Linked DNA regions of Lepisosteus oculatus. The protein of the gene in region 3 interacts with the protein of the main gene of each other region in a pairwise test. Links are inferred from orthologs where the notes say so. Each region holds a gene or a part of one and is shown on either strand. Other genes may lie near its edges.

Evidence for each region.
Region 1: the proteins of 3-oxoacyl-[acyl-carrier-protein] reductase FabG (region 3) and cdkn2d interact in binary tests that used the Homo sapiens proteins (3 or more experiments, as listed by UniProt). The two-hybrid records come from large-scale screens. The link is inferred for Lepisosteus oculatus from reciprocal best matches to the Homo sapiens genes HSD17B14 and CDKN2D.
Region 2: the proteins of 3-oxoacyl-[acyl-carrier-protein] reductase FabG (region 3) and snapc3 interact in binary tests that used the Homo sapiens proteins (3 or more experiments, as listed by UniProt). The two-hybrid records come from large-scale screens. The link is inferred for Lepisosteus oculatus from reciprocal best matches to the Homo sapiens genes HSD17B14 and SNAPC3.

What each region holds. Positions count from the first base shown.
Region 1 is NC_090706.1:16,473,530-16,478,868, forward strand, and holds the start of cdkn2d (cyclin-dependent kinase 4 inhibitor D), read right to left. Parts: upstream 3,664-5,339; 5' UTR 2,710-3,663; coding exon 2,572-2,709; intron 1-2,571. UniProt on the Homo sapiens protein: Interacts strongly with CDK4 and CDK6 and inhibits them.
Region 2 is NC_090696.1:57,956,705-57,962,043, reverse strand, and holds the start of snapc3 (snRNA-activating protein complex subunit 3), read right to left. Parts: upstream 3,850-5,339; 5' UTR 3,826-3,849; coding exon 3,575-3,825; intron 3,153-3,574; coding exon 3,069-3,152; intron 1,999-3,068; coding exon 1,917-1,998; intron 1-1,916.
Region 3 is NC_090719.1:4,647,146-4,652,484, forward strand, and holds the start of 3-oxoacyl-[acyl-carrier-protein] reductase FabG, read left to right. Parts: upstream 1-1,673; 5' UTR 1,674-1,812; coding exon 1,813-1,836; intron 1,837-2,249; coding exon 2,250-2,420; intron 2,421-3,897; coding exon 3,898-4,076; intron 4,077-5,339. Other genes in the region: ppil3 (peptidyl-prolyl cis-trans isomerase-like 3), read left to right, coding at 489-615. UniProt on the Homo sapiens protein: Catalyzes the NAD(+)-dependent oxidation of L-fucose, yielding L-fucono-1,5-lactone, which rapidly converts spontaneously to L-fucone-1,4-lactone. Can also act on D-arabinose and L-galactose, with lower catalytic efficiency. Does not use NADPH.

The DNA.
Region 1 (5,339 bases), on a different chromosome or scaffold from region 3:
TACGATTAGTAAAAGGAAATTACTACTATTAATGATCTGTCAGCAATTATAACATTTTATAACCGTATATTGCATATTGAAAAACAATACATGACCTTCGTATATTGTTTTTGAAAAAAAATAAACATACCGTTTGTTAAACAATACAAAACTACATAATGAATCTAGTACACCGAAAAAATGTTTTAAAAAACAATGTTTTACATTTAGACAAGAAAAAAATGAAGCACGCTAACAGCATTGTTTGTTTTTGCTCTTAATGAAGCCTGATATGTTTGTAACGCTTTGGATTAAATTGTTTTAGTATGGGAACTGCAGTTATGATCAATCTAGAACAGACTGAGGTTTTATAGGATGCAATAAATCATCTTATGTTCAGTTATATAACTTATAGTATTGTTATAAAAATGGAATACTACAGAAAATGGATAACCCACAAATTGCAAAAGGTCTGCCAAGAATTTACCCACGCAGTTGGCATAATCTGAGGCCCTTAAGATCTTTGTTCTCTGGCACAGCTTTGGCGAAGGAGTAATAAATCAGAGGCAAACCTGAATAAACAGTATTTATTACAATAAGAAAACACTACACAACACACATCACAACATTCAAATTACTCTATCTTTCAAGCAAGGTGTCTCAGAAGCCCATGTCCTGACCAATCAGAAAAACACAGACTGTTACCAAGTCCTAAACAGACTGTTAAACCCCCACACAGGCCAAAAGGAGAGAGAAACCTTTCTTCTAAGCCAAACAAAATATCACCTAGCAGCTATTCTCTCTCTTTATATGTAAAACTGAGTGCTACAAAGCAAATGGAAACCAACCTCCCTATTCTAAAACATGCATTCATAACCAGGAGAGGTCATTTTTAACCAGGGGATTCTTAATGCAGGAAATCGGATTTTCGCAAAAACAACAGAACAGCAGGTTTCCTTAAGAGAATTCAAATACTGAACGAGAAGCTGGGCTTTGAGTTTGATGTGAACAAACACCTCTCGCCTCCGGTGTCTCCCCCTCCTCTCCCGTTTCTTGCTTTCTGTCCTCTCCTCTCTTTCCATCCTGCTTTCCTGGCCTCTTAATGATTTACCCAGAAATTAATTACCTAAAGTAAACCTTGCGATTTATTTGATCAACATGTCTCACAGACAACCTACAGCTCTGCAAACAACCATTTTTTTTACACTTTTCTCCCACTTGGTTCCACGCTCAGGGAACTGCAGGTGTCGACACTAGCTACAGAAGGAGTTGGTCAACATTTAATCTAACTATAACAGTACATTATACTACACCTGTATAAGAGTTAACTGTACCCTTGCTCTAAAATCATCACATACCGAACTTCAGTGGAAACGTATATCAAATGGCTTATTATAATAATATTAAATCTTCATCTATACAACTTAATCCAAAGCATGACTAAAACTTTTAATTGGGTGATTAAATCTTCTAATGACCTGTGTAATCTGGGTTGGGATTAAAGGAGAGCCCTGTGGATATTGGCTCACAATACCAGTAACAATCTGTTCTTCAAATGCCATCAGTTAGTCTACAGATCATCTTATTTATAATATACTAGGAGGGTTTTCATCCTCAACTAGCTAGCTCTACCTTCCGAATTTTACTTTTATTATCACATGATTGACAGAACAAGTTTACTTAGTGAGCCTTAGAAGGAAGAGAAAAACTGACAAGCTTGTTTTTCTTTTTCTTAGACTAGATGTGCGTTAGCAAAAACATCAACCCCTTAAGGTGAAATACTGGTTCACACGATAGCAGAATTCATACACTGCAGATCGCATCGGTTTTATCACCTCATCACTTCAAACAGTAATTCCAGTACTCTTTTGTTTTCTAAAACACAATTAAGTGCAATAACCAACGCTAGGTTCCAAGTGCGCTACGCTTTCTACACAGTGCAACAAGCATCCACGCAATAAAAACACACTGAGCAGGAGTGTGAAGGTAGCCAGCAACATTACTGGAGGACGACAGCTACAGCTGTCAGAAATCTACTGTACCCAAACACACAGTGCAGAAATAATCACTGACTGTCATGACTGCCCCTTGCACAGTGAGTCTAAACTCCTTCCATCTGGGCATCAATTTAGACTCCCCAGATTCCACTGCAATAGAACTAAATTAGCTTTTATTTCCTCAGCTGTTAACATGCTTAATTTGGACAACTGTATATTTTACTTTATTGTTATTTTTTCTGTCTCATTTATGTGTGCCTGTCTTATTTGTTAATGGGATTATGTTGCGTTCAATGCATTGTGTAGTGTCTTATGTTTTTCGCCTGCGTGCAAAGCATATATCCCATCGGGGACAATCACAGGAAGTCAAACAGCTGCACACAACAGATCAAGGTGCTTCCATCCACCGCCACGCGCACTGTCACAGCAGATCCCTTGGAATGGCCGTTTTCTTTGATCTGTTTCTGGGGTTCCCCCCCTTTCCTAAGGGGCACATTTTCTTTGAGGACCCCTGACTGACCCCCCATCCCCCATCCCTTGCACAAGATTTCTCATGAGATGTAACTGAACCATCACGGTCAAACACCCTCCTCACCTGCAGGGCGGTTCTCCCAAATTCGTTGGGGGTGTCGGGGTGTACCCCTTTCTGCAACATCCTCCGAACCCCGAGAAGGTCTCCCCTCGCCGCCGCGGCCGAGAGCATCTTCCCAGCGTCTGGGTCACCCAGGACCATAGTGGATGATGCCGTTTCCTTTACCTAAAAAACTTGGTCCTTTCCGGGAGACCGCTTAAATATGGGCGTTTCTAGAATTGAATTACTACGTTTTAAATGTCCCCTCGGCTGTTAACCCCCTTTTAACCTGGCTCACGCAAGTTATTCTGTATCTCGTCTTCTCACTAAGCGCACTTTGATTTGAAATATATGGCTGTTCTTCCGGCTCGGATCAGCCTACACAGTTTTAATCAAATCACGGTCTATAAATATATACCGTGCCGCCCTACATACATTAGCATCACGCATACGTGACCTGTACACTTGCGCCACGGCTACTCCAGAACCTGAGGAATATGAACCACCCTGACAGATCGTATCCTCCCCTTCGCCGAGTTTCAGTTTTCCTTCTTTTCATCAGCAGCAGAGGTTTTACAATCAGTCTCAAGAACAGCAACAACAACAACAACAAAGAGCTGCATTTTGTTCCAGTACCGCGTCCGCTTTCGCCCAGTTGCTCCTTTTGTGCGGCGGGACCCGAGTGGTTAAATTTAGACAAACCGGCTTTGGATTTTCAGAACGTGTTCCGCCAATCATCGCCGACTGTCGGGAAAATGTGGTTCCAAATAAGGCAAAAAAGGCGGAGACGGGGTTTGACGGTCATCGTATCACCTCGTAACGATTGAACAATGAACCAATAGGAAACGAATATGAGAAGGCGGGCTATTCAATTAAACGGAGTAGTTAAGCAAATTCATTCATACGGCAGAAGAACTAAACCGCTAAGAACTTGAATTACAAGCTCCTACGAAGCAAAGAAAAAAAGGCGGTTCATAACGCCCTGTGCATTTGCTGACATTTCACACCCTAAATTATATCTCAGACTACATGAGCCTTTAAATACTTAAATTATAATCGTTATATTCTCGACTGTCTGCCTATGCATAAAACATGATCTGTTTATTATTAACGTTTACATTCGGGAATAGCGTTAGTTCTACAAGTAGTGCAGTAGGGGATTTCTTAATGTTTTAGTCTGAAAGAATGCCACATACATGTACGTTATTTTTTCCATTGGTTATTACGGTATTTTAATTTTAGTTAAAATTACACAAAAAAAACTAAGCTTTACACAAACAAAGTCTGGAAAGAAATGATCTGGTAATCATGCAGGCTTCTGTGTAATTTTAACAACGCTCAAGACTCACACAGTATTATTTACAATCACTCGATTAGAATCAAAGCAAAATTACAACCAACACCATCAAAGCAACAGTATGTGACTTCCTACAAAATGGCATCTAACAAGGCAGTTTATAGGTAACTGCACCTTTAATGTGTCTTGTGTAATTAATCTTAAAAAATCCTCTATAGGTTTAATTTTGAAAACAATCAGGTTAATTAATTAGCTCCTAGGGTTGAAACAAAAAAAAACTGACGACACAGAGCCCCTCGAGGGACTGAGTTTGTGACTCCTGATCTAGAGTTTAGCAGATTCCAACCCCTTGCCTTCCTAAATTAATCAATGGAATCAAACTAAAGCCTAATTGGACGCTTAAGCCAAAACAGGGAGCATTTCCTTTCTTCCTCACATTTCTTGAAAGTAAAAATATACTGTATATGTTACAATAGCACTACAGGCAGGCTGAAGTGGATACTGTTCAGTTCTTACAACCCATTTGCAAAGCTTATAGTGTATTTAAAAACAGATACCTCTATGAAACTGAGAGCTTGGGTACAACAAAAACCAGGATATACTAAGCCCTCAAGGAGTGGAGTCTCACACCCTTGCTCTTGGATACTCTAATACAGGTCTCCTCACTCCAGATCCTTATGACCACAGTTTGCCAGATTTTGGTTCTAGCTCAATTATTTGTGCCCCAGCATTTGACGTATTTAAAGAATTGCAAAACTTTCTTGAGTAATTTGCAAGCTGCAACCTTTAAGGAGCGGCAAAGATTAAATTGAATTGTGGTCTAATTAAATTACAAGTTCAGTTTAGCCTGTTAAGAGTCCAGCTGGAATGAAAACCACCAGACAAGGACAAGGACCAGCAGTGGAAATCCCTGCCTTAATGATTTGGGAATCGTTAACATGGTTCAATTAAGACAATAATTAGTGGAAATGGGCAGTTATGAGCACAGCAGCCTTCCAGAACCCTGACCTAAAATGATCACAAAAATATCTATCTGGACAGCAGGGCTGCTCAGCTTGCAATCATGCCTCTCCAGTCCAGTGTTTAACTGGGCTCCATCCAGTTCCCACATCACTTATCTGATAACCAGGAGGGTCACAGGACTCGTAAGGGCTTGGCTGTACCGAAGCACTGCATGCAGACAAGCTGACCAGGAGGGCAGCCGTGCTGAGGCAGCCCTGGGTGGATGGCTAAGGGGAGACAGTAGGGGAGGAAGGCCGGGTCTACACAATCAAATCATTCAAAATCTATGCATTTAAAAAAAAAAGTTGAGAAATTTGCTCTTTATAAATACAAAGGCACCGTTTTGGTCGCTTGTTCAATGAAACCGCAGGTCCTTGACTCTTTTGCCCAGGGAATATTTCTAGGAGTTGGTCCTCAGCTGGTAATCTGAAATAAATGGGAGATTTCAAATAACATGGTTTGCTTTTCAAACTCCATTTTCATCCTCTCTGCT
Region 2 (5,339 bases), on a different chromosome or scaffold from region 3:
CTTTCAGAAATAGGACTTCAAACTGGCTTAAAGGTATACCAAAGCCATTTTGATGATCAGTGAAAAGCTAGCACAGTTATCTATTTTATGAATAAAAAGCACGGTGAATTTCCAGCTAGGTTTGATGTTTCCAAAACAATTGCTTTGATGCAATCATTCATATGATACTGTGAAGAATCATTCACAAGATACTGTGAAGGGGGCTCTACGTTTCAATCACTCTATCAAACTATAGTTCAAGCACTTTTGTAAGTATTTAAATGAAACTTAAAATTAAAAATTAAATGAAATGCAATAAAAAAGATAATGAAAGGTCTAAAATATTTTTTCCACTTTACAAGAACATCTAAGGATCTACTCTATGATGACGAACAGAGACTAAAAAAGGGGATTTGAGGACCTGTAATCAATGTATATTTTTACAAAACAGACTAACCTCCGTCAAGCACAGAACTTTAGCAGAGCATGTTTTCTTGTCATAAACATTATGTTGCTAACATTAAAAAGATCTACTGCTAATTAGCAGTTTGTAGAGTCTGGTCAGGGACCTCCATCTACTTCAGCCCCAGCTGTGACACTTGAGCAGCAATATGAGATGACAGCACAGTAAAACTCAGGCCAAGGGTCCTCAAACAATATTCTGACATTCACCTAATTCTGGCATGTCTGTCTTCTTTAGGTTTACAGACAATGGGTGAGAATGTACAGTCATGTATGAGGTCACTGCCTAACTAAATTTTGCCTTATTACTATATATGTATCCATACAAACTGATCTATGATAGGGACCCATCACATCAATAAACAACTACCAAAAATATTATAATCTACACATTATATTTTCCTTAATGTTTGATTACTTGTTTATCTCTCGTAAATGGTGGGTAGCATATATGAGGTTGTTGCTTGTAAAACCTGAAATGAGTGCTGTTTAAATTCTTGTTGTATTTGAACAGAATCTTTTTTCAATATATATATATATCTCTTTTAGAATGAAAAGAACATTGAGATGCTTTTTAAGAGAGGATTAAACCAAAAAATGCTTTTTTTATAAATAATAAATTGTTTTCACCAAACATAAATCAATGTTGTCCTTCCCTGGGTAATTCCCAGGGTATTTTCTTTCTCTCATAAAGACTTAATTATTCATGCAAACAAAGAAACCAATGTCATATGTAAAAATAAAAAACAACAACCGTAGACAGTGCAGTACAGCTCATATCCATTCACACCTGACCAACAGAGCCTTGTTCTGGCAGATAAAGGACAAGACTACAAAAAAAATCAATTTCTACAATTCTTTTCCACATTGTCATTTCTGCCATGTTTTCTGATTGTGTGTGGTAAACCTTTCTATTAATTGATCATGTAGTACACTAAACTATCCTTTCTCAAGCAAAGTACAACACTGACCATCTTGATCTTCTTTGCATTAGCAATGTAAAAATACAAATGCACTTAGGTGTACTAATATGCTTAAGGAAATATAAAATATTTGCCGATAAATACAATACATAAATTACAACAGTCAGACAGATCGGCAGAAACACAAAACAGACGAATCAATTGATAAATTAGTTGCCTTTAGAAACCCCGCTCTGTAAAATTAGGTGGAAAGGCAAATAGATGCTTTCTAAAAAAAAACACTCACACTCTTCAGCCATAAGATGCAAAATGTACAGAAAAAAAAACTGAGATTTAGGTCATTAAGCACTGCAGTAATTAACTAAGCTACCTCATGGATACCACCTGGTGACTGGAAAAAATAAGAGAGACAAATGACTCCTTAATATACACACTGAAGAAATTCCCCAACCTAGCCACCAATCACAGAAGCGCTACACAACACTGGAATAGGAACCAGCGTTTCGTAGGACTGAGATAATACAAATGTTCCATCTCCTCCTCCAGACTCACCATTTCACTTGCATAGATGTTACTTCTGCATGTCTTATCTATTGTCAGAGTTTCCCGGTAATCCTGCTTCCTTTTTTGAACTCTGCTCAGACAAGAAGATAAGAATAGAATAAAAAAGGGAAAAATAAGTTACACATATTTTAACCAGAAATCTTAGAATGTGATGTCCATGTGCACAGTGTGAATGCCTAGAACAATTTCCCCATTAGACTTTGCTTTGAGCTCAAAATAACTGATGGGTGAAGTAAATGGGCTCTGGGACTAGTGCTCTGGAAACTCAGGGACTGACAAGGCAAAACACCCTGTGGGTATTAACACCAGACAAAGTGTTAAGCAAAAAGTTTTTTTTTTCCCCATTAGCTTCATCTTAAAATTTTGTTAAGGTGAAAACTGAATAGGATAAAGCCAAGTTTAAAGGGATGTTGTGTGGTACAAAATAAACACAGCTCAGGTATGAGTTGAAAAAAGAATATGAATGCAGAACATGCAATCTGTTTGGAGGAATGGCTAAATTTAATATTAATTTTATTATTAGTAGTAGTAGTATTATTAGTATTATTATTAATATTATTATTATTATTATTATTATTATTATTATTAATTCCTTACACATATATAGACCTTTCTGGACACTTCACTCCAAGTGCTTTACAGGTAATAGGGTCTCCCTTCCACCACCACCAATGTGCAGCATCCACCTGGATAATGTGATGGCAACTATAGTGTGCCAGTACATTCACCACACATCAGCTATCAGAGGGGAGAACACAGTGATGAAGCCAATTCAAGTTATTAGGAGGCCATGACCAGTAAAGGCTAGGGGAAAATTTTTACAGGAATCCGGGGTAACATCCCTACTCTTTTTGTGATACACCCTGTGGGATTATAGTCCCTGTCACTATACTGCGGCATTAGGACCCACACATACCCCAGGGTGAGCACCCACTGCCAGCCCCACTGACACCTCTTCCAGCAGAAACCTTAGTTTTTCCCAGGAGGTCTCCCATCCAGGTACTGACCAGGCTCACACAGAAAGGCTACAGAAAGGACCTCAACATTGTCAAACGCAAAAGAGGGATCACAAAAATCAAATGACGAATTAGTAATAAATTAGTAATAAAATATTTAAATATTTTTGACAGATATCCTCACCTCAATGTCTGCAGACTGGGATTTGGGCCAACAACTTCTGTGTCAGGTGATTCGTTTTCAGGATGACACCTCAAAGTATCCAAGCTGTCAAACCAGTAATAAACACAGGACGCCAATGTTAATTCATCCAGCAATTCAATTTACAATTTCCATTTTAAACTTTGATTTTTATTTATCCTCTGACTCTTCACTTAATAACGTTTGTTTTGCCATCATAATTTCCACCGTAAGTACTGAGAATCGTATATTTCCGTTTTCTTGCTCTAAAATTTGCTAAGTATATTTTTTTAGATACTTTCACACGTTTGTACAGGGATGTGAGCATTTATTCTGCATTGCACTATACAAGTAAACTGCAATATAAGAATCATACAGCTACAGTAATATGACTGTTGATTTAATGTTCAAGTAAGAGTTGGGAGACAAGATAACCGTGAATGTCACAGGATACAGTGCAACTTGTTCATCTGAATTATTTTTTTTAAACAGGTGCGGTGAAATCATACCTACACACGAATTTGACTTCCTCCAAGACGTCTGCACTAATTCCGACCTCCTCTGCAAACGCAGCATCTTCTGCTTCTTCCGAATTAGCTGCGTTTTCTTGAAGGGAGAAATAATCGGGGTTCAATTTCTCTCGCCACAGCTTCCCAAATGAACCTACATGAAAGACTTTTGTGTTGACACCTTTATATTCGTAAGTTGGAACACTGATTTTTGCAACATCCAAGTCTCCAACATCAGTGGACGTCGCCATGCTGTTTTAACTGTTAACGGAAGTTACGTTTTAAAACGAAATGTCTTCTGGAGATTGTAGTTTCGACGGGGCTTTCGTTTGCGGTGCTTATTTTATTAATGATTTTGTTTATCCTAATTGGCACTAAATCATGGTAAGGACATGCAACGTTGACACTAATGTGTCCTACGATGTTTTAAAATTAAATTCGATTGCAAACAAAAATATCCAATAAATCAAACATATAGTCATTTGTTTAAAAATTATTTTGTTTACATTAATAAAAATAAAATGAAGCTGTTTCTATAGTCTTCATACAAAGTCATTAGTCAGTGGCATGTTTTGCTGTTCTTCTGTATTTACTTGAATCACAGAACTAAAAACAAAGACAATGGTGTGGTTTATGAGTGTCCTTATCACTGCTTTAAAAAAAGTACCTTGTGTACCTTTTTTTAAGAAAAGTGTACCTTGAAGTGAGACACAGCATTTCTCATAATCTACATAAATTAGAGTTCCATTAGTCATTGTGTGTTACTATAGCATTATTTAAAACGACCTGGGTTCCATAAAGAAAAGAAAATGATAGACGGTGCCTAATCCAAATTTATTTTTCAAAATTCAAGGAAAAACAAATACAAATTGATAAGGGTACTTTCCCCTTTAAAGATAATAACCTACCTTCATGACTTCTGATCAGATACTCTATTGACAATGGTACAATTGAACAACATACTGTAGCGCTCTTGGGTTCACGTGGGTATGCACCCTCACCGCTGCCACCTCAGGTCATCCCCCCACCACTGGGGACTCAAACCCAGGCCTCTGGGATCACTCAACAGGGACCCAACCAGTTGAGCTAAAGGGAAATCTCCCGTCAGCCCTACAGCTGCGATCCCTGTTATTCTCAGGGAAGGGCGGTGATGTCACCATGCTGGTAAGCTGGCTCTAACAACTTGCAATGGCAGCCATATGCATTACAATAGCAAACAATTCAAATAATTAGTTACTACTGTTATTATATTATTGATTTTTGTGAAGCAGTTTTACCCAACACACAAAGATGTTTGTGTGTCCTTCATTTGCCTGTACTAATGGAGACCCAAAGTGAAAAGAAACACTGAAGAACGAAACACAGCTTCCGCAGCCATTTGTACTCTTGGATTTCCTCATCCCAAATAAAGAATTTCAGGAAAGCTATCTGAGGTACAGTATGGGTTGAAATGTGTGTTCCACCAGGTGGAGTGCTCTATTTCCCATGGATAATACCACAGTACTTCCCACTCTGGAAGAAGAATGAGGTATCAACACCTGAAGTAGACATGATGCACATGAAGAGGTGCAAAATTCTATAGAACTGCAGATTACAGCCCTTTAAATGATGTGCAGGACCCAAAGGTCTGATATCAGTGTGTATTTGTAGTCTTAGACGGTCTTTCTGGAGGGTATGCTGGGTCAAAGGCTCCAAGTAGCAAGCAGAAACACCTTCAAAACCCACTCAAAAAGTGAGCAAAGGCACCCGGAGGGCAGGGCACTCA
Region 3 (5,339 bases):
AAGAGGATCAGCCTCTGACACCACCTCGGTATGATGAATCTAGGAAATAACCAGTCACACAATAAGACTATGTGAAGTAATTGCACACTGTTAGAACACTCCAAAATTAGTTTATTGAATTAAGAAAAGTAGTGTGATTAAAACATAAAGGAACCATGCATACTGCTCATATATATCTAGATTATGTTTGTAGATACCACTAAAAATGTCCTCTTGTATGTCTTGTTTCCATTATATCATTATGTTAATTAATGTAAAAGAATAGTTCCAAAATGTAACCTTCTGCAGATAAACCACTGACATTCATATTCATTTAATAGGAGAGTATAGTATTGGGAAAGGGGAGTATAAGTTATGTGATGATCCTGTTGCCATATTTGTCTTCTGTGGACATCTTTAATGTCTGAGCTGTGTGACCTTGGAAGTTAAACTGGTAACCTTAAGAAAACACTAGGTCCCTAATTGTATTTCATTCTTTTTTTCTTCAGGGTAATAGATGGCTTGGAGACGCTGGATGAATTGGAAAAGCTGCCAGTTAATGAGAAAACGTTTCGGCCGTTGAATGACGTTCGGATTAAGGATGTTACTATGCACGCTAACCCTTTTGCGGGCTAGTCTCCAGCTGCCAGCAGTGTGCCTCAGCCACCGTTACAAAACAACATTATTAAAACTTCTGGATGCAGACAAATATCTGCAGGGTCTGTAATGTTTGCAGTTACGTTATTGTATTACTTGGAAAGAAATCTTCACAACAGGCCCTTGTTCCACTTCTTTATTTTTTCATATGTGATGTTTTGGTTTAATTTATATTACATTTAAAATAAACCTTTTTTTTTAAGTATCACAGTGTTGTAATGCAGTTATTAAAACAAGAACAGTTGTGTTTTTTATGCACAATGCTGATTAGATTATACACATACGTGACTATCCATTCCATCACAGATGTTAATGCATCCCTTTCACCTGTTTGGCAAAGTAATAAGAGTTATTGCCATTTTGGTTGTTGGACATGAATGTGGTATCTCATCTAGAGATGTTCTCATCTAGAGAACATCTAGAAAAAAAGGTAATCAACTTATAACCAATCAATTTAAAGAAAATAATTCACCAACTACACAGTACATCACATTGTGAATTAACTAAAAGGAAAAAAAATGTGTTATCCTAAATGATATCCTTTCTGATAAATAGACAAATCGGAGCCGTGCGGTCAGAAACGTGGGGGTAATCCATCACTTTTGTCTACTGGAAATTGACGTTTATCCGCATTTAAATGCGCTTTAATCTCTTACTACTGTTCACTGAACTGCAGATACTTATCGAGTGGTTTTCATTTCCACATAAGCTCTCCATTTTTTTTCGTTTAAATTTCCCGTCAAGTGCCTTTTTATAGTCGAGCAAAGAAATAAATTCTACTAATCGATGTTTTCCCATTGAGATACCAGAATCCCCAGATTCGTATACAAATACTTGTGAAATTACACATCGTGAAGAATTCAGCACTTCAATCTAAACAGAACATATAGTTTGTTTACTTGTGATTTGTTTTGAAATCACAAGTGAATTACAACGTTATATTTGTCTTTCAAAAATGTACACGCATACTTTGTTGCCGGACTGAAATATGCACCTTGCTATACCAAGCTGACACATCACTAAAGTTGTCTTTTCCATGGCAATGTCGCTTTGTGATGAGGTCATACAAATGCCGAGCAGGCAGTTTCGGAATCAGTGGTTGAGACTGTTGAAGTATATTGCTTATTGAGCTCTTAGCATTAAATCACTTTTTATTTTTTAATCGATTCATGAAACATGGCAACCGAAGACCCTTTTAAGGTAGGCAAATACCGGCAATACGACCCAATACCCTGCCAGCATCGCGCTCTTTCAGCTGCTGGTAATAAGCACGTTTTAACGTTACAAGAGTGTACAAGGGTAATGCACCGTACCTTTACGAAAGTGTGAAATTCGCTGCCATTATGCTAGCCTGTCAAAGTTTTACAAATTTGGTCAACCTTAGCCTACTCCAGACAATCTTTACATCTAACCCACCGTAAGTCACTATCGACAGTCTCAATCAGATTAGTTTTTTTTTTAGTTGCAAGCAAAACGTCATATCTAGAAAGCCAGATTTTGATATTCGGTACCTTTCTTTCCCTTGAACCAAACTCTTCCTTTATCGGACAAACGTCGCACCCGAGAGGTCAAATACTGGTTCCTGTTTGATCTGTCTGCTAATACATTTTCAGGTTTCCTCGCTCAAAGGAAAAGTGGCTCTAATTACTGGAGCCAGCTCAGGAATTGGGGCAGCAACCGGCATTCTGTTTGCCGAACTGGGAGCTTTGCTGGCGCTTAATGGGCGTGATGTGGAAAACCTGACCAAAATAGCCCAGCAGTGCACAAATGCAGGAGGAACAGAGGTAAAGAGCTGATTTGTATATTATATATTTCTGTTGTGGCCCGTCCGATCCTCAACAGTAAACACCATCAAGCAAATGAGGGCTGATCTTGCTCAATTGCTGCAGAAGTGTTCCTGTAAAAACACTACCTAAAATACCCAGACGTTTCTTAGAGAGATTATTTTGGAAGGAAGGGGCTAAATCTCATGTTTCAGGACTGCTGATTAAATTTAACCTGGCTCGAGTAAGACGGGCAAAGAATTAGGCCTCCCTCACAAAATAATTTCCTAATAAAAGTAACGGCCCAGGGCTTTTTCCAGAAGAAAACTCTACACCCTGGAAAAGACAATATTTACCTCTCTCTTACTTTATCTGTTGTCTGTAGCTCAAGAAGAATACTATTCCCAAAGAGTCCCTTTCCCTAACTTTATTATTATTAATATAATAATAATCATGATGGGTGAAAACCAAGGGTAAATTTGGCCAGGATGCCGGTGTAACACCCCTACTCTTGTCAAGAAACTCCCTGGAATTTTTAATGGCCACAAAGAGACAGCACCTTGGTTTTACGTCTCATCTGAAGGATGGCACGTTTTTACAGTGTAGTATCCCTGTCACTATACAAGGTGAGCGCCCCCTACTGGTCCCAATAATGACTCCTTCCAGCAGCATTCCCAGGAGTCTCCTATGCAAGTACTGACCAGGCTCACGTCTGCTTAGCTTCAGCAGGCTGCTAGTTGTGAGTTGCAGGGTGATATAGATGCTGGCTTAAATTTAATTTAAATGTTTAAAAAAAGGTTTGACTCTTCTTGCAATAATCAATACACCATACAACCTGATCTGTGCAATGGAGGCCTTTAAAATCCTGCCCAATAAAGCTAATACTTATGGACAAATCCACAGGTATCTGTACACTGTCTCATAATATAAAATCATCTGAGTACTACACGTTGATGTAACGCAGCACCAAGTTTCAAGCATTGTTTATAGAATTATTTTTCATTGTTAATCCTAAGACTAAGGAAAGAAAAAACAATGTTCATTATTCACCTCTGTTAGTATAGCCTAACAAGAGAACAGGTAAAGGTTTATTCCATGCTGAAAGGAATAGCAAGGAAGAGATGCAACGTTTCGGCGATGAAGGCTTCTTCAGACGTAGAGGCTCCACAGCCGAAACATTGCGTTTCCTTTTCAGCATCGAATAAACTTTTACTTGTTCCTTTGCAGCTTACGCATGCTGATGCAGCTACCTACTCGAACATAGTCTAACAAGAGCTCAGATTCCCTTGTGGGAATGAGGGTTAAAATAACCTGCACCTATAATATACAGTATAACAATATCTGAGAATATTTGGGACCATTTCAGAACATGTGGGCATATTTGGAAGGTTCGCCTGTAAATTTCGATTGTCTCTTTATGAAAGTGTTGGAATCTGTGTGAGACTTTACAGGGAGACTGAACCACTCACAGTCCCTGAATCTGTGTGGTCCTCTTTAGCCACTGTTAGTGCCTGGCGACTTGACGGATGAAGACACAGTGAGGAAGACTATCGAGAAGACCATTGCTCACTATGGGAGACTGGACGTGCTGGTTAACAGCGCTGGGATCCTGGCCATGGGCAGCATCGAGACTACAGACATGGCTCAGTACGACCGGGTCATGAACATCAATGTCAGGTAAAGAATGAAACCAGCTTTAGTTAATTAGTGTGATCTGATATTTGGCAAAATGTAGTGCATTTTTATGAAGCTTATCCTTTCAGCACCTTGATTATTAAAGGTGAACTGCAGTCCCAGTCTCTCAGACTGGTTATTAAATTTCGACAACACAATAAATTCATTGACGTTAAAGAAAAATGTTATACATTTTGACTTACAGTAAGCACAAAATTGTGAGCTTTGTGAAAGTACTGTAAGTCACCATGTTATCGCAAACCACAGGTTTCGCTACATGCGCGAGTTCTCACAAATGGCAATATGTGGCCCTTCCTGTTCACTAGTCACTGTAATGACTAATGTAATCTGATGTACAAGTGCATATGTACAGGTTGTGCAGCAGATATTTCACCGCAGAAATGTTCCAATTTGGTATACATGCAGAGTTAACAAGTAAACAGTATTTGTCAGCAAAATTGTCTCAAAGTCTAGAGCATTATTTCTGTTGGATTAAAAGAGGTGTATTCACAAGCCTGCCTGTTTACAATATTATAGGGCCGCATCACGTCTCCGAAAAATGTTGTTGTCTTGATCTGAATCACAGTATATGGTGTTGCACATATCTGGAAAGTTTCTCTATTTTGTGATGAAAATTGGATGTTTGACAAATTACTGTGGACAGTTTAAATTTTTTGTAGTTTGAAATGCACTCATTAGTGCCGATTCTTTCTAACCCCGAAAACTAAAAATAACTTTGTGGTTCCCCTTTACGTGAGTTTACAAAAGACTGCAGGCCATTCAGTCTGTGTCCATTTCCTTATTGATCCAACTTGCAGCCTCTACTATGTGTTATGTTATGGAGAATTTAAAAAGATTTAGTTAGAAGTCAAAATTAGGCAAACACCTGGCAGATCACATTTAATATAGACAAACCGAGTCTTATAGAAAAAGTCTTTAGATATATGTTGAGGGGACAAAGTGGGAAGGCAATACAAAAAGCAAACTGTTAAGAAACTGTTTGAAGTTTAAAAAAAAACAAAAATGTTGTATGCAGGCAAATCTTTATACAAAAGTCTGCATGAAACTGCTACCAGCTGTTGTTGAAGCAAAAGGCTTCTTTCAAGATCAATTAACCACTAGCCACAAAACTTACTGGACCAGCCTGATAGCCTCTTTTTGTTTTGCCCTGTCTGTCATTTTCTTATGTTCATATGTTCTTGAAATATCCCAAGGTGTCAGGTTCAGGAACGCAGCCGGTCCATGTCTAAAAAAAAAAAACTTGGA